4 linked regions of the Saccharomyces cerevisiae S288C genome follow. The gene in region 1 interacts genetically with each later gene. Each region holds a gene or a part of one and is shown in the gene's direction. Other genes may lie near its edges.

Region 1 (5,079 bases):
GACGAAGGCATATATATAATAGTCTCAACCCACCATTTTCGAAGATTTACATACACATTATATTTTTATAAACTTCCAATATGTAATAACTTTATATGATATGTAACTTCTCACTATTATCCTTACTATTAAACGGTTTTTAATAAATATCATTGTTCTTTGTTTTATTAATGAGAAAAAGAAATTTAATACAATGTCCGGCGGGAAGAAAAAAAATCGATGAATTAATTGAAAAAAAGTATCTTTATCATGTGAACTGAGGAGAAGAACGGCATCTCGAAAAGAGCACGTCGAAACAGCGGTAGGTAAAAGAGGGTACTACCAGAGGTCTTTTCTCTTTATACGTTAACCTCTCAGCTTTTTCTTTTGCAATTCAGGACACTTTAACTTGTAGTCACACGCTAGTCCACGTAGCAAAGTAAAACAGCACGAAAAAAGTGATTACAAATTTCAAGGGAGATATGATGGACTTAGATAAGATTATAGCATCACTGAGAGACGGAAAACATATTCCTGAAGAAACCGTTTTTAGGCTATGTTTAAATTCACAGGAACTATTAATGAATGAAGGCAATGTAACACAAGTCGATACACCGGTTACAATATGCGGTGATATACATGGCCAATTACACGATCTACTAACGCTCTTCGAAAAGAGTGGTGGTGTAGAGAAAACAAGGTATATTTTCTTGGGCGATTTTGTGGATAGGGGATTTTACTCATTGGAGAGTTTTTTACTTTTACTATGTTACAAATTAAGATATCCTGATAGGATTACTTTAATTAGAGGCAATCACGAAACCCGGCAAATTACTAAAGTATACGGATTTTACGATGAAGTAGTAAGAAAATATGGTAATAGTAACGTATGGAGGTACTGCTGTGAAGTTTTTGATTATTTATCATTGGGGGCAATAATAAACAATAGCATATTCTGTGTTCATGGTGGATTATCTCCGGATATGACCACGGTTGATGAAATACGAACAATAGACAGGAAACAAGAAGTTCCACATGAAGGTGCTATGTGTGACTTATTATGGAGCGACCCCGAAGACGTTGACACATGGTCATTATCACCAAGAGGTGCTGGATTTCTTTTCGGTAAAAGAGAAGTTGATCAATTCTTAGAGAAAAACAACGTTGAGTTAATTGCTAGAGCTCATCAGTTAGTGATGGAAGGTTACAAAGAAATGTTCGACGGTGGATTAGTGACAGTCTGGTCGGCACCGAATTACTGTTATCGTTGTGGTAATGTAGCAGCTGTATTGAAGATAGACGACGATTTGAATCGTGAATATACAATTTTTGAAGCTGTTCAGGCACAAAATGAAGTCGGAAATGCTATAATTCCAACCAAAAAATCTCAAATGGACTATTTCTTATAAATTTTTAACAGGCACTCTAATTGTCAAGTGCATTTTTCTTTTTTTCTTCATAATGCAATAAAGGAAAAAAAATTGTAATATTACATACTTCTTTTCACATCTTAGCTAATTAACAATATGGCTTTTGAATACTAATATATACCCAGCTACCGTTTCTTCTTTTATTTTTTATTCCTTTTTTTCTTCAGTAGAATATGTTATAGATGCGGAGGTCCCCTAAGTTCTTCACGTGTTCTCTTCTCATCGCGTTTGATATGAAAAATAGAAAAAAATACATAGTAGCATGACTAACTAATAATAAGCTCCGCTATCAAAGATGTCAAGTACATTAAGGAAAGCTTTTAGATAAGGAAAAGAACTTATTAATAATATATAATATGAAAATATGTCGCTTGGTATACCACTTTCCCAATTAATAGTAGAAAGTCCAAAGCCATTAAGTAGCGGCATCACAGGATTAGATGAGATATTAAACCTGGGATTCCAGGCAAGGTCGATCTACGAAATATTTGGGCCTCCGGGCATTGGCAAGACTAATTTTGGCATTCAATTGGTGTGTAATTCGTTAGAAGGCATACAACAATCGGAAATAAACGACGATAAAATTCTATGGATAGAAACATTTCAAGAAATGCCCATAAACATACTAAGAGAACGCTTTCAAAAATTTAAAATCGTGGAAGAAAATGTGAAGCGGGTCCGAATAACGAAATTTGGACAGCTATTATATTTCTTCCAGAATTTGTTCAAATTATCTCAAAGTGTGCGATATAAACTAGTTATAATTGATGGATTTTCTCAATTAGTCTGCGATCATCTGTGTACACTAAGTAAAAGAGGCGGCGGAATGATAGATAAAACTATACACGAGTTAAAATGTCGACATTTGATATTAATTTTTACGGTAATGACCAAATACACACATTCCACGGGTTCGACAATAATAGTTTTAAATGACTGTATGAACACCGCCTTCCAATCAAACGAATTCGAATCCTTGGAAGAATACTACGAAATTTTAGACGACGGATCTAACTTCTTTGTCAACTCTAACAACGAAAGGCGTAAGAACAATGTACATATATTGAAAAGCGCGCTCGTTGCCAATATCGCTATGGGAAGCAAGGATTCCACTTGGGAAGTATTTCTAAGAGACAGGATCGGCCTTTTTAGGGATTGGAATGAACAAGTGGACGAAACCGTTTTCGTGAAAAGCAAAAGAGTGAAGGCGTCATCCTCGCAGAGTAACGAGGGATGTACTACCATCAAAGAAATGAGAATAAACAAACGAAACTTTGAAAACTTGAGAATAGCTATTGTTTTTAATTTACACGGCGAAGATAGAAAAAGAGAAGGACGAAATTTAAAGCGGTCAAGAAGCAGCGACGATCGTAACTATATTGTCAAATTTGATTTTGATAAAGCAACAGGTCAACTCCGCGATATAATTGATCTGAAACCTGATACTGCTAATATTGCCTCATTTCCAACATTATCAACAAGCAGCAGCAGTTGCTCACAAGTGTTTAACAATATTGACTCCAATGATAATCCATTACCAAATGCGGAGGGAAAGGAGGAGATAATTTATGATAGTGAAGGTTAATAGTAAAATAAAAAAACCGAAAACCGAAAACAATAAAAAATGGAAAAACGACAACATTCCACCCAACAACTACAAAGAAAAGTTAAGGGTAATTTTACCTATTTAGGATTTTAATCTGTTGGAGTTAAGGTGAATACGTTTTTCCATATTGGGGTATGCAGCTCGAACCTAAAGTGGTATGTACACATCCCCTCAAGCACACCCATTACCCTTATAGGATTAATGTAAGCAACAGCTTACACGGAATTGGAAATACTATTCAACGATCCATGCATCTGCCAGATTCGGACATGCATATTCCCCAATTGGATATAGAAAATTAACGTAAGGCAGTATCTTTTCACAATGTACTTGCAACGCGGCGACTTAAAGTTGAAGTACAACCTGCAGCAGCGGCTTTTTGTACGGTACGCCAAACTGTCAATGGATAATATTGCGTAGACCGAAAAAGGTAATCCTCAACACTACCCGTGGTGGATGACCTAAAGCAGTAATATTGGTTGGAATTATCTCCCAGACGGCACCGTCTCCCCGAGAAAGCTTAGCCCCGAGGTCTACCTTCCATACACCACTGATTGCTCCACGTCATGCGGCCTTCTTTCGAGGACAAAAAGGCATATATCGCTAAAATTAGCCATCAGAACCGTTATTGTTATTATATTTTCATTACGAAAGAGGAGAGGGCCCAGCGCGCCAGAGCACACACGGTCATTGATTACTTTATTTGGCTAAAGATCCATCCCTTCTCGATGTCATCTCTTTCCATTCTTGTGTATTTTTGATTGAAAATGATTTTTTGTCCACTAATTTCTAAAAATAAGACAAAAAGCCTTTAAGCAGTTTTTCATCCATTTTACTACGGTAAAATGAATTAGTACGGTATGGCTCCCAGTCGCATTATTTTTAGATTGGCCGTAGGGGCTGGGGTAGAACTAGAGTAAGGAACATTGCTCTGCCCTCTTTTGAACTGTCATATAAATACCTGACCTATTTTATTCTCCATTATCGTATTATCTCACCTCTCTTTTTCTATTCTCTTGTAATTATTGATTTATAGTCGTAACTACAAAGACAAGCAAAATAAAATACGTTCGCTCTATTAAGATGAAATTATCAACTGTCCTATTATCTGCCGGTTTAGCCTCGACTACTTTGGCCCAATTTTCCAACAGTACATCTGCTTCTTCCACCGATGTCACTTCCTCCTCTTCCATCTCCACTTCCTCTGGCTCAGTAACTATCACATCTTCTGAAGCTCCAGAATCCGACAACGGTACCAGCACAGCTGCACCAACTGAAACCTCAACAGAGGCTCCAACCACTGCTATCCCAACTAACGGTACCTCTACTGAAGCTCCAACCACTGCTATCCCAACTAACGGTACCTCTACTGAAGCTCCAACTGATACTACTACTGAAGCTCCAACCACCGCTCTTCCAACTAACGGTACTTCTACTGAAGCTCCAACTGATACTACTACTGAAGCTCCAACCACCGGTCTTCCAACCAACGGTACCACTTCAGCTTTCCCACCAACTACATCTTTGCCACCAAGCAACACTACCACCACTCCTCCTTACAACCCATCTACTGACTACACCACTGACTACACTGTAGTCACTGAATATACTACTTACTGTCCAGAACCAACCACTTTCACCACAAACGGTAAGACTTACACCGTCACTGAACCAACCACATTGACTATCACTGACTGTCCATGCACCATTGAAAAGCCAACAACCACATCAACCACCGAATACACTGTAGTCACTGAGTACACTACTTACTGTCCAGAACCAACCACTTTCACCACAAACGGTAAGACTTACACCGTCACTGAACCAACCACTTTGACTATCACTGACTGTCCATGTACTATTGAAAAGAGCGAAGCCCCTGAGTCTTCTGTCCCAGTTACCGAATCTAAGGGCACTACCACCAAAGAAACAGGTGTTACTACCAAACAAACCACAGCCAACCCAAGTCTAACCGTCTCCACAGTCGTCCCAGTTTCATCCTCTGCTTCTTCTCATTCCGTTGTCATCAACAGTAACGGTGCTAACGTCGTCGTTCCAGGTGCT
Region 2 (9,455 bases), on another chromosome or scaffold:
AGTTTCTGGCGACGAGATATGGAAAATGTAGTTTTTAAATAACACGTCTACAATATAAGGAAGGAAAAGTCAAAATATTTTAGCGCCTTTAAGTGCGGTTGAGACCCCATAGTAGTATCCCTACAAATAATAGTTAAACTGTATTTTCAATACATAACGTAACAGTATATCGGTATTACGGAGCAGCGATCAATTAAACGCTATTTACCCGGCTGTGTATTATACCTAATTTCTCAAGCAGTGAAAATGTATCAACGTCCTACGCTCAAGGTAAAAGGGGCCAAGGGCAGCGACCACATTGGATCCAAACGCATTGGTTCTGTAGTTCTTTTTTACGCTTCATCCACGATTGTATACTAGCAAATAGGATTGACTCGACAAAAGCAGAAAAATGCCGTCCAATAATAGCAGTTTTTTAGATATTGACGATGATCTCGAGGGTGTAGATGATTTTGGCAACGAGCCCAACCCATTTGATGATGCCACCGTACCTGATAGCCCAAACATGAATAACTCGACTGCTGGAAAGGGTAGCGAATTTTATAACACAACGGGCAGTAAGGCAGAATCCGCACCATTACAGGGTCAAATGGACCCACCAGCGTACGACCAAGTGATAGGACAGAATGACAACGACGGTCTTGGGCGTAATGGATTGAGGCCAGGATTGATAAACTACTATTCTAAATACTTCCAGATCGATTTGACGCAGTTCAAAAAGAGATTGTCCGCGGTACTGACGTTTAGAAACGATCATAATTCCGAAAGTAACGAAGATAACACTGATTTATACGGTGCTGTATGGATCACTGCCACGGTGGTAATGATCAATTTTACCATGAGTAGGGGGTTAAATTTTATTATCAGTGACGTAATTGAGGGCGTCAAGACTGGTGAGGACATCGACAGGGCCAGTCAGTTTAAGAAGCTACTGCATTCTATTTGGCTATTTTACGGGTACACGTTCGGCGTACCATTTATTACCATGCAAGTATTGAATAGAGATGAGCACTCGGAGCGCAATAGAAGCTTCAAAAGTGTTCCTGAATTGATTTCCGTTTACGGGTACGCTAACTTGATCTGGATACCCGTTTGTGTTATATTGAATATATTGGATATGTCCAAGCGCCTGAGGACTGTTCAAGCAATTCAATGGGCAATTGTGGCTCTTGGGTGGGCACAGTCGTCTTATTTCTTGAATTCTCAAATATCGAGTAATAATAATACGGAGACACAATCGAACGGGAAATTTTCGCTGTCCATCATCGTTGTCGTTGCGCTGCATACTTTATTCTGTCTATTGTTCAGGTTTATAATATTTTGAAAATATGCGCACGTCTATACACACAATACTTTTTATGACTAGTATCATTGTATACTCTTATTATGTAGGGTTATACATGAGTGTTTATACGTTTTCTGTGTGTACATATATATCCATATATGTTAATGCTAAATGCAAGTTTTGTGATGCTATTCATTAGAGATGCCTTTGTCTAAAAATCAATGCTTTTATAGTCATCATAGGTTATGTCGTAAATGGTTTTATCCTTAAATTTTAAGGAGATTTTGGATGAAATGTTTATGTCAGCTCTGGTAAAGCCTTTTGAAAAAGTACATTTATCATTTTTTGGGAAATTAGTGGAAGAAGAAGAATGCTTTTTCTTAATGCATGGTAAACAAGGTGTGAGCAAAACCAACTTATCAATATGCTTAATCAACTTGCGTGAGCCTGTACCCTCAATGACATCATCCGGTATGGCAATATTCCGCAACAGCGTGCCTCGATATAGCCGAATATCGTCAGGAGTCAAGACGTACCGCAACTTGTTCGAGATCATTGGCATTATAGTATCGTCTTGAAGCAAAATCTCAATTTTCGCATTACATTTTATTTTTTTCAAACGACATTTGTCACAACTTGGGCCACTTCTTTGTCTCTTGGAAATTGAACTAGTAGATGTGGCAGAGGAGGTTGTCGAGTTGCTCGTTGAGCGCGAAATTATAGACATTTGAGTGCATGACGCATTAGCGTCTTCATTGACCATGGAAGCAAGAGCATGAGGATGATACTCAAACAATGGTGGAGTGTAATTTTGTGGAGGGGGAACAATCGCACTTACGGGGAGCGTTGGCGGCGGCGTCACCGTGGCAATACCAATAGCGCACTCATTACTGTCAGCGGCAGCAGGCTTTAATCTCTTATAGCCTCCTAAAAGCTCGTCAGTCGGAAAAGCCCGCTTCCTCGTCCAAGTGGTCGACAAGAGTTCTGGATCGGTGATGCCCACATTTTGGGTGCCTTTACGCCGTATATCTTTTTCTAGCAGGGAAACATTGGGGAGCAATAGCGGTGGTAGCGATCGATCTCTATTTCTTACTGTAATGCTTGTGGACATCTTCTTTTGACATACGATGACCTCAATGATTTAGATTATGTGTTGCACTTTTATAGACCTACCAAAAATCCAGTGCGTACACTAATACTTTCATAAAGATACCTGAAACAATAACCAGAAAGATCGGCAAAAAAATTTTTTTTCTTTGCCGAGATCACAAACCTACTATGACGAAAAAGCTTGAAGTTTAGATGAGTAAGGAAAATACAAGTGACGCTTTTATATGGTGCAAGGAACAAAAACTAAAAACAACAAGGCAAATGTGGATCTGTCATGTATGGCAACGACAGCAGGATGGCTCACAAAAAAAGACAAAAAAAACTAAGGCAAAAGAACAAAGCTCCTCTCCTGCTCAAGAAACGTATTGTTGAAAAACCACCGTCGTAAGAAAGTTTTTCTGTGACCTATAATGGTTTAAAATCGGCCCATTTTTTTTCCCTCTTTTGTGGTCCAGTCTTTCTCATACTCGAGGGAAATTCGACACAAACAGCGGAGAAGTGTGGCTAAACCGGCAAGTGCCTGCAAGATCCACAGAACTAACCGCACGAACTGGCGGTCAGAAAAGAGCCTGTTCCGGAAAGAGAGAAACAGAGAAACGATCATGATGGGAAAGCGGGGATTCGGCGAAGAACGAGACTGGAAAGGGAAAAAGAGAAATACTGGTGGAAGTATTCGGACCTTTGGCGAAGTCCGAACCCTTGAAACCCAAAGATGATCGATGATTCATTTTTCAATGCGCTACGGTTCCTGCCGCTCGTGGGAACCCCACGCAAAACATATTATTCGCTTCTCTCTGCTGACAACTCCGGTTTACGTTATACCGTATTAGGATCACTATAAGGGTTCCTTCGGGAGGAGGGGGGAGGGGAAGAATGTACATCGTCATAAGGCCTTTATGGTGTGAAGTGGGTTTTGCGTGGAAAATTCGTTTTCAATGATATAGAGCCCACGCATATACGTACATACTAGTGGCCAAAAGCGTGGGGTGGGCGGACAAAGCTACACTGGTAAAATACAGGATTCTATGAACAATAACAACAACCAGCTCACGTTGCTGAACAGCCGAGGTCAGCCGATGCAACCGAGGTTTCCAAAGTAGCATTTCTGTGCTAGCTATGTCTGTAGGTTTACATTTAATGGTGCGTGGTTCCAGCTTCATGTGCTTGCATGTGATGTCCTGCAGATGGTAAGAAGATTCTGAAAGCCGCGCTAGGAGAAAAATATTCTGCTCGAAGATCTGTCCTCTTAAGTAGAAAGCGTGAAATTGTTGCGTTCTTGCATTACTACTCAACGCGTACGCAAATGCGTCTACTGCACCTGCATGATAAAGCTTATGTATCAAAAATTTAACATCTTGAAAATACACAAGTGGTGCAAAGATGTGTCACGTTCTGGACCTGAGTGGTGCCATGTATGCTATTTAACATGCAAAGGGGAAGACCCTTCCGCCTTACTGCAATAATAAAAAGTATTTTACGCGTTACCCAATATAGCAAAGTTTCGCGCAAAAAAAAAAATAAAAAACAATTACAAACAAAAAGAAAAAAAAGGAAATAATAGAAGATCTAACTGAAGCGAAGGCCAAAACTCTTCTCACTTGACGTAATAGCCGATACAAAATCTAGAGCAGCAACTTTTCTCTTTCTTCACTAAAGCTGCTACGAAAGTATAGAAAAATCAAACGCTCAGAACTTAGCTCTATTTCAAGGTACCATATATATTTCCTTATAACTGATGGCAAGACGCAGATTACCAGACAGACCACCAAATGGAATAGGAGCCGGTGAACGGCCGAGACTGGTACCTAGGCCTATTAACGTACAAGACTCGGTGAACCGACTAACGAAACCGTTCAGGGTCCCGTACAAGAACACGCACATCCCGCCCGCTGCTGGTAGAATCGCCACCGGGTCTGATAATATCGTAGGAGGAAGGAGCTTGAGGAAAAGATCAGCGACTGTATGTTATTCCGGCTTGGATATAAATGCGGACGAAGCAGAGTACAACAGCCAAGACATAAGTTTTTCTCAGTTGACTAAACGACGGAAGGATGCTCTTAGTGCTCAAAGGTTGGCCAAGGATCCGACAAGACTGAGTCATATCCAGTACACTTTGAGAAGATCTTTCACTGTGCCAATCAAGGGATATGTACAAAGACACAGTCTGCCATTAACGTTAGGAATGAAAAAAAAAATTACTCCAGAACCTCGACCTCTACATGACCCTACAGACGAATTTGCCATAGTGCTTTATGACCCGTCCGTTGACGGTGAAATGATTGTCCATGACACATCTATGGATAACAAGGAAGAAGAATCAAAGAAAATGATCAAAAGCACACAGGAAAAGGATAATATTAACAAGGAAAAGAATAGCCAGGAAGAAAGACCCACACAAAGAATAGGACGCCATCCAGCTTTGATGACAAATGGTGTGAGAAACAAACCGTTACGTGAGCTACTCGGTGATTCGGAAAACTCTGCGGAAAACAAGAAGAAATTTGCTAGTGTCCCTGTGGTTATTGATCCAAAACTGGCCAAGATTTTAAGACCCCATCAAGTCGAAGGGGTGAGATTCTTATACCGTTGTGTCACAGGGCTTGTCATGAAAGATTACTTAGAAGCTGAGGCGTTCAACACTTCAAGCGAAGATCCCTTAAAGAGCGACGAGAAGGCACTTACTGAATCTCAAAAGACTGAACAAAACAATAGAGGGGCCTACGGCTGCATCATGGCCGATGAAATGGGGCTGGGTAAGACATTGCAGTGTATAGCACTTATGTGGACATTATTAAGACAGGGCCCGCAGGGTAAAAGACTTATCGACAAATGTATCATTGTTTGTCCATCTTCTTTAGTCAACAACTGGGCTAATGAATTGATAAAATGGTTGGGTCCCAATACTCTAACTCCGTTAGCGGTTGATGGGAAAAAATCTTCAATGGGTGGTGGTAATACAACAGTTTCGCAAGCTATTCATGCCTGGGCTCAGGCACAGGGAAGAAATATTGTTAAGCCCGTTTTAATCATATCGTATGAAACATTACGTCGAAATGTTGATCAATTGAAAAACTGCAATGTGGGTTTAATGCTGGCAGATGAAGGGCACCGTTTGAAAAACGGTGACTCTTTAACATTCACAGCTTTGGATAGCATCAGTTGTCCTAGAAGAGTTATATTATCTGGTACACCCATTCAAAACGATCTTTCCGAATATTTTGCTCTACTGAGTTTTTCGAATCCTGGCTTATTAGGTTCCAGAGCAGAATTTAGGAAAAATTTTGAGAATCCAATTTTGCGAGGGCGTGATGCTGATGCTACTGATAAAGAAATCACAAAGGGCGAGGCGCAATTACAGAAGCTATCTACCATTGTCTCCAAATTTATTATCCGTCGTACTAACGATATTTTGGCCAAATATTTGCCTTGCAAGTATGAGCACGTTATTTTCGTAAACTTGAAGCCGTTGCAGAACGAGCTCTACAATAAATTAATTAAGTCAAGAGAAGTGAAAAAAGTAGTAAAAGGTGTTGGTGGGTCTCAGCCCCTGAGGGCTATTGGTATTTTAAAGAAGCTATGTAATCACCCTAATCTCTTGAATTTTGAAGATGAATTTGACGATGAAGATGATTTGGAACTACCTGACGATTATAATATGCCGGGTTCAAAAGCCAGGGACGTACAAACAAAATATTCAGCTAAATTTTCCATTTTGGAAAGATTTCTCCATAAGATAAAGACCGAATCCGATGATAAGATTGTTTTGATCTCCAACTATACCCAAACCTTGGACCTCATTGAAAAAATGTGTAGATATAAGCACTACAGTGCTGTACGGTTGGATGGTACAATGTCAATTAACAAAAGACAAAAATTGGTGGATAGGTTCAACGATCCTGAAGGCCAAGAGTTCATCTTCCTCTTAAGTTCTAAAGCAGGTGGGTGTGGTATCAATTTGATTGGTGCAAATCGATTAATTTTGATGGATCCGGATTGGAATCCTGCTGCTGATCAACAAGCTTTGGCACGTGTTTGGAGAGACGGTCAAAAAAAGGATTGTTTCATTTACAGATTCATATCGACTGGTACCATAGAGGAAAAAATCTTTCAAAGACAATCTATGAAAATGAGTTTGAGTTCATGCGTGGTCGATGCGAAAGAAGACGTTGAAAGGTTGTTTAGTTCTGACAATTTAAGACAGTTGTTTCAAAAAAATGAGAATACGATATGTGAAACACACGAAACATACCATTGTAAACGTTGTAATGCTCAGGGTAAACAATTAAAGAGAGCCCCTGCAATGTTATATGGTGATGCGACAACTTGGAATCATTTGAACCATGACGCATTGGAAAAAACAAATGATCATCTACTAAAAAACGAGCATCATTACAATGATATCAGTTTTGCATTTCAATATATTTCACATTGATCTCTTACATACATGTACTTATAAAACAAAAACAAAAAGTAGAATTCGATCGTCGGGGGGTCATTACATATTTATTTTAAATGATGGGCATGGTTATATATATTTAGACGTAATAAACAATTGAAAATTGGGGCCAAATTGGTAAATATCTCTATGTATTTCAATCAAAAAAGTATAATCGTATAACTTAAGGGTAAAAAAAGTTGAGCGATGTCATATTATACTTGTGCTAGCTTTTAAATTTTTCATTATCTTCAGTTTTATCGTGGTAAAGTGCCAGCCGAAACTGCCAAAAAAGATTATGGCAAGAAAATCTCACGCTGTCAGGGAAATAAAAATCTGATACAGTTTCACACTCTCAGAAGGATTAACTTTAACTATTACCTAACACCAATATCTGAAGAGAATGGATGAAATTCTTGCCAAAGCAGGTTCACAAGCCGTTACATTTGCTATAAAATCCGGAATATCGATAGCATCCACATATGCGCTAAAGACAATAACGAACTTTGTCGTCCAGATTCCTAAGGATGATGCTAGAAGAATAGATCAACTGAAATTTAAACTGGAAAGCCGCATGGCTATTGTATCCAGTGCAATTGACCTAATAAAGCTGGTAGCGGCGAGGGGAAACACGAATTTGCAAATCACTCTGAGGTTAACCAAGGATTTAAAAGAAGAGATTGATAGGTTTGATGAGAAGATCAACGAAATGACGCAGAAAGTTGAGGGTTCCAGGAGCGCAAAAACACAGAATGAAGCTATTAAAGCGGTAGAAAACTATATAAAGGACTTGCTATTGAGGATCGAAGAAATCACTCCATTCATTAATCTTTCTTTAACCACTTCTGGTGCCAACTTGAACAGCGCACTCCCATATCAACTTTCTCCTGGTTTATTATTAAAAGCCTCCGATTTCGTTAGCGAGAACAATAGAAAGTATGAAAAGGCAATGAAGAGTAATGAGAAAGGAACAGGTGACAAGGAGATTCTAAAAGTTCAAGTGGGGCCTACATTTGAGGTTACACTATTCTCTATTTTCTATAACCTAACTTCAGAAAACAATGGGCAATCAGGAATTGTTTGGAAAGAGGATATGAAACGTGCAAAAGCAAGGATATATAGATTGAACTCTACAGGCAGAAAGTATGATTATTTTATGAAAATAGAACAAGACTTCAATGACGGTAGATATCATGAGGATGATGACAAAGAAGACACACCACAGGAACTTGCCATAGATCTGAACCATATTAAGAAGCTGTTTTTCAGTGTTTCCGGTAAGCTTCTCCGATTAGAAGAACAGGATTCTCCAGTGTTGGTATTGAAGATTGACCGGAGCGATGACAAAGAAAATGAGAGCAGTGAAGGAGACAAGGGATTACTCGATGACATTACTTGGTATGCGGTAAGCGGATATGAAGCGATAGAGGAAGATGAAGAGGAAGATGAAGAGGAGGACGAAGAGGAAGGAAAAGACGGAGAAGAACGAAAGGAAGAAGAAGAAGAAGAAAATAAATTGGAGGACAAGGATTCGTCGATCACACTACTGGAGTACATCATTCGGCTGACGTCCTTACAAAGTAACGATCAGAAAAGTATATTGGAAGTGAGTGATGAAAGGTTATCTATATATTTGAACGATGAAAATACGAACTCCAGAAAGGATAGAATAAGCAATTCGACAATTGAAGAGACAGAAAAAAAGTTAAAAAACCTAAAACTTTAGGATGGTTACGTATCCTGTGCAGCCTTGGACAAATTTTATAATTGTATATATCTATGTATATGTATACGAATGGAAAAATTTATCCGAATCTCGGCCCGACTGCCAGCTTGCCGGGAGAACAAACAACCGCCAATATATGTATATGTATATTTATATAGATGTCCAGATGCATTATTGTGAATGTGAGTTATGCGAAGATACTTGTTTGTATAGCTCGTTCAACTCATTGATGGAGAATGGAATGTCAATATCGTTTAGTGCTGTGTTCGTAGTTGTATATGCGCTTCCTGTTTCATTGATACTAACAGGTTCCATAGATATACTAGGGCTTTGCTCAAGCGGATCGAGGGAAGCCAAATCAAGATTGTCAATGCTGTCGGCCTTAATTTCTCCGTTTTGCAGAGGTGGCTTCAAACTCGGCAATGTGGTTGTCATGTCTACATCCGACGAGCGACCATTTAGGCCCAAAAGAACGTCCAGATCTGCAATACCGAGACCATTGACATGCGCTGCTTCATCATTTGCCCTTCTGTGGCATGACCCTCCCTTTGATTTCCGGCTGCTTTTCCTCTTGGTATGACATTTACAAGGTTCACCCTCATCACAACGACATCGTGTTTCATCTTCCTTGCTGCCAACAGCTGGCCGTCGTGCAGAGGCACACATGCACCCACCGGATGGGTTGAAGTTCTTGGTTCTTCTCAGCTCTTTACAATGGCCACATGTGGTCGATGGTCTTCCCTTGCGTCTGATCATCTGTAGCGGACCATCAGTGTGAGTACACTGCGCCGCCCTGTGACCCCTGATACACGTTTCACAGGCATATTTGACCCCGTTAATTACGACCATTCTGTGAATACACTGATTATCAGTCCTCTTTTATCAAGCCGCCGTCTAAT
Region 3 (4,209 bases), on another chromosome or scaffold:
GTTTATTTTCTTGATACGTCCAGTCACACTTCTAGGATCTTGCCCAGTTACCTGCGCCAAATCCATAGTATTGATCCCTTTTTCTCCTGATTTGGCAACTTCGAGAAGTAGTTCAAATGCAGAATTTCCAATAGTTGACTCCTTTTTTGTGTATCCCGTTAATAATGTCCATAGGCTGTCCTCAGTAATCCCAACCGAGTATGAATGATTAGCGTCGCCTATAATATCAGTCACATTTTTAGTTGTTATAGCACCATCACAATACACCTCAATGTCCTTTTTCAATATCACGCATGAAAGCACGAACTGTTTAACTTTTTTATCAGACAAATCAAAATATTTACCAGATATATCCCACAGCTGATTCAAAGTGATTTCTTCAATGTGTCGTTAGTAAATAATCTTTCACAATATAGTACGTTTATCACCTAAACGGAGCCGAAAAGGAGAATGAGACATGAACATACTTCCCTTATTTGAAGCAATTTTATCAGACACTATTTGTACGAGTTCGTCAGGATAAATCGTCAGTACCATTTTTCTTGTGGCTAGTTGGCTTCAACCAAACGTCCTCTTCTCTCTTATGGCAAGAAGAAAGTTATATGTGTGACTGGTTGTTTATTTCACTTTCGCGACTGAAAGCGCCGCCCTTTATGATGCAAAAAACCAAGCGGTATTTGAAAATGCAGATTTGCAGAAATAAAAGAAATAAAAATAAAAATCTTATAATTTTACCAGCTTCAATAACTCGATTTGCATAAGTGTGCCTTAGTATGCTTATTATATTGACTTTGACATTGAACTTCAAAACCTTTTATGTAATGATTTAAGTCTTGTCACATGACATAATAATAAATAATTTTAAAAATATAAAATATTTTTAATAGTTTTTAAATATTTTACAGTTTATTTTTTAAATTTATTTATATGTTTTTGTTTTCCGAAGCAGTCAAAGTATTTTAATTTTCGGAGCTTTCATTTCAAGCGCCTTTTTTTTACACATAATACGATCAAGATAAATTATTATAGTGGTACAGAACTCTTAAGCACTAGGCGGTGGACCTTATTAGCTCAATCTTGAGTCAGTCCATGTATCGTTTTATAATACTTTTTTAAGCACTTTCTTTAATAAATATTCCATTGAAGTACTGTTACTGAAATGAGATGAACTGTTCAGAATGTAGAAATGGCGCCAGAAATCAATCATTGTTTAGCAAAAACACCTTTCGTCTGCTGCCTCGGGTGTTTTTTCAAATTATTTCAGCAGGTAAATTAAGATAGTTATTCGAGTGATTGCCAAATATCATGTTCTACTTCGAAGACTTATAGCTAATTAATTTTTTCATAATGAAGGTGTCGTTAATTGTTCTGATTAGTAACATGAAACTCAAAAATCATCAAAAAAAGAAAAGCTAAATGTATACTTTTTTGTCTACATTAGTTACCTTTTATTACATGAGAAAGTTATTTTTCTTCTTTTTTTTTTTTTTTTTTTGAAACTTTTTCCTCTCGGAAAATAAAAGATATATTTACAAGTGAAAGCTTATTGTAATGTGTACTTTTAAACATCAAATAACAGACCTTTACATCAAATAAGCACCGCAAGATATCCTAAAATCGACATCCAATGCATCGTAAATCATTGAGGAGGGCTAGCGCTACTGTGCCTTCCGCTCCCTATCGAAAGCAGATTATTAGCAATGCACACAATAAACCAAGCCTTTTCTCTAAAATTAAAACTTTCTTTACCCAAAAAGATTCAGCCAGAGTGAGTCCAAGGAATAATGTTGCTAATAAACAACCACGCAATGAGTCTTTTAACAGAAGAATCTCAAGTATGCCTGGAGGTTATTTCCATTCTGAGATATCCCCAGATTCTACTGTAAACCGTTCCGTAGTTGTTTCTGCAGTGGGTGAAGCCAGAAACGACATTGAGAATAAAGAAGAGGAGTATGATGAAACACATGAAACTAACATCTCCAATGCAAAGCTTGCAAACTTTTTTAGTAAAAAAGGTAATGAGCCTTTATCAGAAATTGAAATAGAGGGTGTGATGTCATTGTTACAAAAATCAAGCAAATCCATGATAACTTCGGAAGGAGAACAAAAATCAGCCGAAGGTAATAATATCGACCAGTCGCTTATCTTGAAGGAGTCAGGAAGTACACCAATCAGCATATCTAATGCGCCGACCTTCAACCCAAAATATGATACTTCAAATGCGTCAATGAATACGACTTTGGGAAGCATTGGTTCAAGAAAATACAGTTTCAATTATTCTAGCCTGCCCTCACCATACAAAACAACCGTTTATAGATATAGTGCAGCGAAAAAGATCCCCGATACATACACAGCCAACACATCTGCTCAAAGTATAGCATCTGCTAAATCGGTAAGAAGTGGTGTTTCAAAGTCAGCTCCTAGTAAGAAAATAAGTAATACAGCTGCGGCATTGGTCTCACTATTAGATGAAAATGACAGTAAGAAGAATAATGCAGCTTCAGAACTTGCTAATCCATACTCCTCATATGTAAGCCAAATACGCAAACATAAGAGAGTTTCTCCAAATGCTGCACCAAGGCAAGAGATCAGTGAAGAAGAAACTACTGTTAAGCCATTATTTCAAAACGTTCCTGAACAAGGCGAAGAACCAATGAAACAACTGAACGCCACCAAAATTTCACCATCTGCGCCAAGCAAAGATTCTTTTACTAAATACAAACCTGCAAGGTCCTCATCCTTACGCTCAAATGTCGTCGTAGCTGAAACCTCACCTGAAAAGAAGGATGGTGGAGATAAACCTCCATCCTCTGCTTTTAACTTCTCGTTTAATACTTCAAGAAACGTTGAACCTACTGAGAATGCTTATAAGAGCGAGAACGCACCATCTGCATCATCAAAGGAATTCAATTTTACCAACCTACAGGCGAAGCCGTTAGTTGGAAAGCCAAAAACCGAACTTACAAAGGGCGATTCTACTCCCGTCCAACCAGATCTTTCGGTTACTCCTCAAAAAAGTTCATCGAAAGGCTTTGTTTTTAATAGTGTTCAAAAGAAATCACGGTCCAATCTTTCACAAGAAAACGATAATGAAGGTAAACATATCAGCGCCTCAATTGATAACGACTTTTCAGAGGAAAAGGCGGAAGAGTTTGATTTCAATGTTCCCGTGGTGTCTAAGCAGCTAGGAAATGGCTTGGTTGATGAAAATAAAGTTGAGGCTTTCAAGTCCCTATATACCTTTTGATAATGAAAATTTTAGCCGTGACATAATTACCGTATAGCCCAACTCAATACGTAAGTTTGTGTAAAATACCATTCCAAGATGATATTATTTAGTCATTTTTTTTCCACTTTCTCAAAAAGAAGGAATACCTTTAGCGGCTCTTATAAACTATAAATTTCTAGAAGATACATAAAAGGTTTTTAGTCTGATCATAAAATTTTTTGCTTAACAAAAAATTTGCCCAGGTGTTTCATTTGCCAGCCACAAGTAACAGCGAGAACAATTAATTGAATGACAATCCACCACATAGCACGAGAATTAACAGCTTCAGAGGCGTCTCTAAAGGTAGCTTCACGATCTCTCATCAATTTTTGCTCTCTTCTAATTTCGCCGATCTTGGAGTTTAGGACGTTAACCTTGGCATGTAGAATGTCAATAGTGGCTTTACCCTTAGAATCTAACTTTTCATCAGAGCCCACTTGGAATTCAACGTCAATCTTCGTTTTAGCCTTAATCAACCAGCCACCAGCTTCGGGCTGAATACAGATTTTATGTTCACCCGAATCAGACGCAAGGAAAGTTAAATCACCACTTGCTGAACCTTTCTGATGAACAACCAGGTGGTTATCATCAAAAGTTTCCTCAATATCAATCAAGACACCAAAATCTTGCGCACCAGCGTCTCTGTAATTTTGTAATTGGTCATCGTAAATTTGTGCCTTGTAAGTTGCTTGGAACAAAGTACCTTTAGACAATTCCTTGTGGAAGCACTTACGTTCAGCACCAGAAGTATAATAATAGAACGCAGTAACTTGAGCTGGTAAAACTAGACAGCAGGCAAAAACCTGTAAAAGAGAGGTTAAAAGCATGATTAGTAGAGAGATTGGTTACCTTTAAATACTTTTCCAAACTACAGAGGGAAGATAGAGTAAGTTTTGTATGTACACATTTCTGCTGATGTGTTTTTTTTTTTCAACTTATTA
Region 4 (3,539 bases), on another chromosome or scaffold:
ATATATCGTTTATATAAGTACTGTTTCCTCGCATTAAGCGGGAAAGCCATGTATCTCTTGTAATTAGTTTGATCCTGTTCTATACCCAAATGTACTCCTCAAAATTATTACATTTTATTATGCCTTTTTCTTAGATGGGCTTTCACTCCACTTTACGAAAAACTGAGAAAAAAAGAGTAGGAGAAAAACTAGAAAAGGGGAATCACACACACACACACACACACACACACACACACACACACACGTCTAATATCGGCGCATATTTATCAAATCTAAAAGGCAAAGAATCTTAATACATAAAATCCCAGACGGTTATGATGGAATTCAAAGTGTCACCATTGACAAAGATTATTTCTCTGTCAGGATTCCTCGCATTGGGATTCCTTTTGGTCATACTAAGCTGCGCATTATTCCATAATTACTACCCACTATTCGATATTTTGATCTTTTTGCTTGCCCCAATACCAAACACAATTTTCAATGCAGGAAATAAATATCACACATCTGACTTCATGTCCGATTCATCAAACACTGGCCAAGATCTGGCTCACTTCCTTACAGGAATGCTGGTGACAAGCGGTATAGCACTCCCTGTTGTTTTCTATCATTGCCAATTGATTGGCCATTTGAGTTGTATCATGTGCATGATCGGTGGTCTTATCATATATTCTAGTATTGTTATTTTTAAATGGTTTTTCAAAAAAGATTTCAACGAAGATGATTCCCTTTTTGGTTAATATATAACAATTACTCATCCCCTCAACAGACTAAGCCAACTGGGTGCGTGAACCGTACATTGATATTATATAGTATGATACTCTACTCAAGGTGGGAAATCTGGCGTCGATTTCTCCTTTTTTTTAGAACTACTTAAATATAATAGATTACATAAAATTACTTTCTGTCTTTCTTCCATTTCAAGTTTTCAAACAAAAAATGCCAAGAAATTCGTGTCTTTAGCCTCTAGTTGACAGAATAATGTAGATAGGCAAAGTTGGCTGAATACATCCGTAATTTCGGGATAAGGATTGGCATTGAATCGCCACATGTCTATAATCTTATTTGAATCGATCTATGAGCGGAAACGTTGAGCAATGGTCGTACAACCATTCTGTGCCGCAATATACCTCATGAAAAGAGATGGGATTGCAAACCTTGAGAAATTAGTCTCTAGTAGGATAATGTATTGTACATTTGTTTGATTCCGCAGTTTTTATAGTGGCTTGAGATTTGTATTTCAACTAGATATGTTGAAAATATCCTCGTAGCGAATGTGGACATAGTGATAACAACAATGTCTTTGTCTTCTACACAAAGGTAAAGGTGTATAAAGCTTTACACACAATAAAGACGACACATAACAAATTATGCAACTGCGCTGCTATTGTAGGATAGCGTCCGATATTATCAATTCTTGCTTTTCAGCTTCTATTATATCTGATGACTAGTTCTCAATCTTTACGTCATCTTCCTATGGCATATTTTGTAATGTGCTAGTGACATGAATACTACTATGGATTATAGTAGGATTTCATTCTAACACAGCTCAGTGTGCAAGTTGTTTTTAATTTTACAATATGAATCTTTATTAAGTCTAAAATATTCATAAAAGTTAAGCGCCGTGGCGCAGTGGAAGCGCGCAGGGCTCATAACCCTGATGTCCTCGGATCGAAACCGAGCGGCGCTAAGCTTAATTTTTATATTTTTATCGTTTCACCTTATGAAAATTCTCGATCAGTATGCCTCAATATAGAACACTTCATTAATGGAAGTACCTTAATAAGGTTATACTAACGAATAGGTCTATTTTCCACTACGGTGTAACTTTCCGACGGAAGTAGTAAACGCGTATGAGTTAAACACGCGAAACTCTTAATTTTGAAAAGTACGCAGAAGTTCGTTACATCGCAATCAGATCAGCTCGAAATAATATTTCACATTAACTAACAACCAGAAATAGGCTTTAGTTAACTCAATCGGTAATTAATGGATCAAAAGGCGTCATATTTTATCAATGAGAAGCTCTTCACTGAGGTAAAGCCCGTCCTTTTTACGGATCTAATTCACCACTTGAAGATCGGCCCATCCATGGCCAAGAAATTAATGTTTGACTATTACAAACAGACCACCAATGCCAAATACAACTGCGTAGTGATATGCTGCTACAAAGATCAAACTATTAAAATTATTCATGATCTTTCCAACATTCCACAGCAAGATTCAATAATTGATTGTTTCATCTATGCCTTCAATCCCATGGACAGCTTCATACCATATTACGACATTATCGATCAAAAGGATTGTTTAACCATTAAAAATTCATACGAACTTAAAGTTTCTGAATCATCGAAAATTATAGAGAGGACTAAGACGTTAGAAGAGAAATCTAAACCTTTGGTAAGGCCTACAGCAAGATCAAAGACCACGCCAGAAGAAACAACCGGAAGGAAATCCAAATCTAAAGACATGGGTCTCAGGTCTACTGCACTGCTGGCTAAGATGAAAAAGGATAGAGATGACAAGGAAACCTCTAGACAAAATGAGTTACGTAAAAGGAAAGAGGAGAACTTGCAAAAAATAAATAAACAGAACCCTGAAAGAGAAGCTCAAATGAAAGAGTTAAATAATCTTTTTGTCGAAGATGACTTAGATACAGAGGAAGTAAATGGAGGGTCCAAGCCCAACTCACCTAAAGAAACTGACAGCAACGATAAGGACAAAAACAACGATGATTTAGAAGACTTGTTGGAAACGACAGCAGAAGATTCACTTATGGATGTACCTAAAATACAGCAAACAAAGCCTTCTGAAACAGAACATTCAAAGGAACCTAAATCTGAAGAAGAGCCCTCCTCTTTTATTGATGAGGATGGATATATTGTGACAAAGAGACCCGCAACTTCAACACCACCACGCAAGCCATCACCCGTGGTAAAAAGGGCATTGTCGTCTTCAAAAAAGCAAGAAACGCCGTCATCGAATAAAAGGTTAAAAAAGCAAGGAACATTGGAAAGCTTTTTCAAAAGAAAGGCAAAATAATCTTCTTTTTTTTCCAAACACTTTCCATTACTAATTGTGATGTAATGTATAATACAAATGTCAACTTACGTGATAGAAAAATAGATCAATATAAATATATATTGTTGTTTAAATTTACTTATTTTCGTCATATATCCTAATATACCATCCGAAGGACATTACTATACTGATTTACATGAACGCTTGACATAATTTGAAATTTAGTTTCTTTCTTAAATTTTTCAAAAGTGTTGCCATGCTACTAGGTAAGCTTTTATCTGCTTCAATAATGGTTTCATATAAGTTTGAACTTTTTTCATCAGCGTCATCCCATTTAGTTTCTATAACTTCAATGACTGTCGCCACTGAATCTTCATCCATTAGCTTCTTATCATCTAAAAGGAAAATTGGGTACAGGAATTTCGCCACAAGCAAAACCAAGTAATGTTTTGGTAAATAAGGGAATTCAATCAGCAAAAGCAATAGGCGCAGCGCTTGGCCCCAATCTTCTCTGTCCCTCA

What was found.
Region 2: mutations in RAD55 (region 1) and RAD54 together harm fitness less than expected from each alone (positive genetic interaction), as found in Saccharomyces cerevisiae (6 studies listed by BioGRID, with this or other methods).
Region 3: mutations in RAD55 (region 1) and NUP60 together harm fitness more than expected from each alone (negative genetic interaction), as found in Saccharomyces cerevisiae (7 studies listed by BioGRID, with this or other methods).
Region 4: mutations in RAD55 (region 1) and POL32 impair growth when combined (synthetic growth defect), as found in Saccharomyces cerevisiae (6 studies listed by BioGRID, with this or other methods).

The regions. Positions count from the first base shown.
Region 1 is NC_001136.10:596,695-601,773, forward strand, and holds RAD55 (putative DNA-dependent ATPase RAD55), read left to right. Parts: upstream 1-1,773; coding exon 1,774-2,994; downstream 2,995-5,079. Other genes in the region: phosphoprotein phosphatase PP4 catalytic subunit PPH3, read left to right, coding at 462-1,388; SED1 (Sed1p), read left to right, coding at 4,099-5,079. UniProt on the Saccharomyces cerevisiae protein: Required for radiation resistance and meiotic viability and presumably acts in recombination and recombinational DNA repair pathways.
Region 2 is NC_001139.9:191,079-200,533, reverse strand, and holds RAD54 (DNA-dependent ATPase RAD54), read left to right. Parts: upstream 1-4,130; coding exon 4,131-6,827; downstream 6,828-9,455. Other genes in the region: YIP5 (Yip5p), read left to right, coding at 392-1,324; SUT1 (Sut1p), read right to left, coding at 1,497-2,396; YRB30 (Yrb30p), read left to right, coding at 7,234-8,556; CUP2 (Cup2p), read right to left, coding at 8,728-9,405. UniProt on the Saccharomyces cerevisiae protein: Plays an essential role in homologous recombination (HR) which is a major pathway for repairing DNA double-strand breaks (DSBs), single-stranded DNA (ssDNA) gaps, and stalled or collapsed replication forks.
Region 3 is NC_001133.9:150,630-154,838, forward strand, and holds NUP60 (FG-nucleoporin NUP60), read left to right. Parts: upstream 1-1,627; coding exon 1,628-3,247; downstream 3,248-4,209. Other genes in the region: transcription factor TFIIIC subunit TFC3, read right to left, coding at 1-377, 468-537; ERP1 (Erp1p), read right to left, coding at 3,436-4,095. UniProt on the Saccharomyces cerevisiae protein: Functions as a component of the nuclear pore complex (NPC).
Region 4 is NC_001142.9:515,961-519,499, reverse strand, and holds POL32 (DNA polymerase delta subunit POL32), read left to right. Parts: upstream 1-1,986; coding exon 1,987-3,039; downstream 3,040-3,539. Other genes in the region: VPS55 (Vps55p), read left to right, coding at 315-737; NUP85 (Nup85p), read right to left, coding at 3,211-3,539. UniProt on the Saccharomyces cerevisiae protein: DNA polymerase delta (DNA polymerase III) participates in chromosomal DNA replication.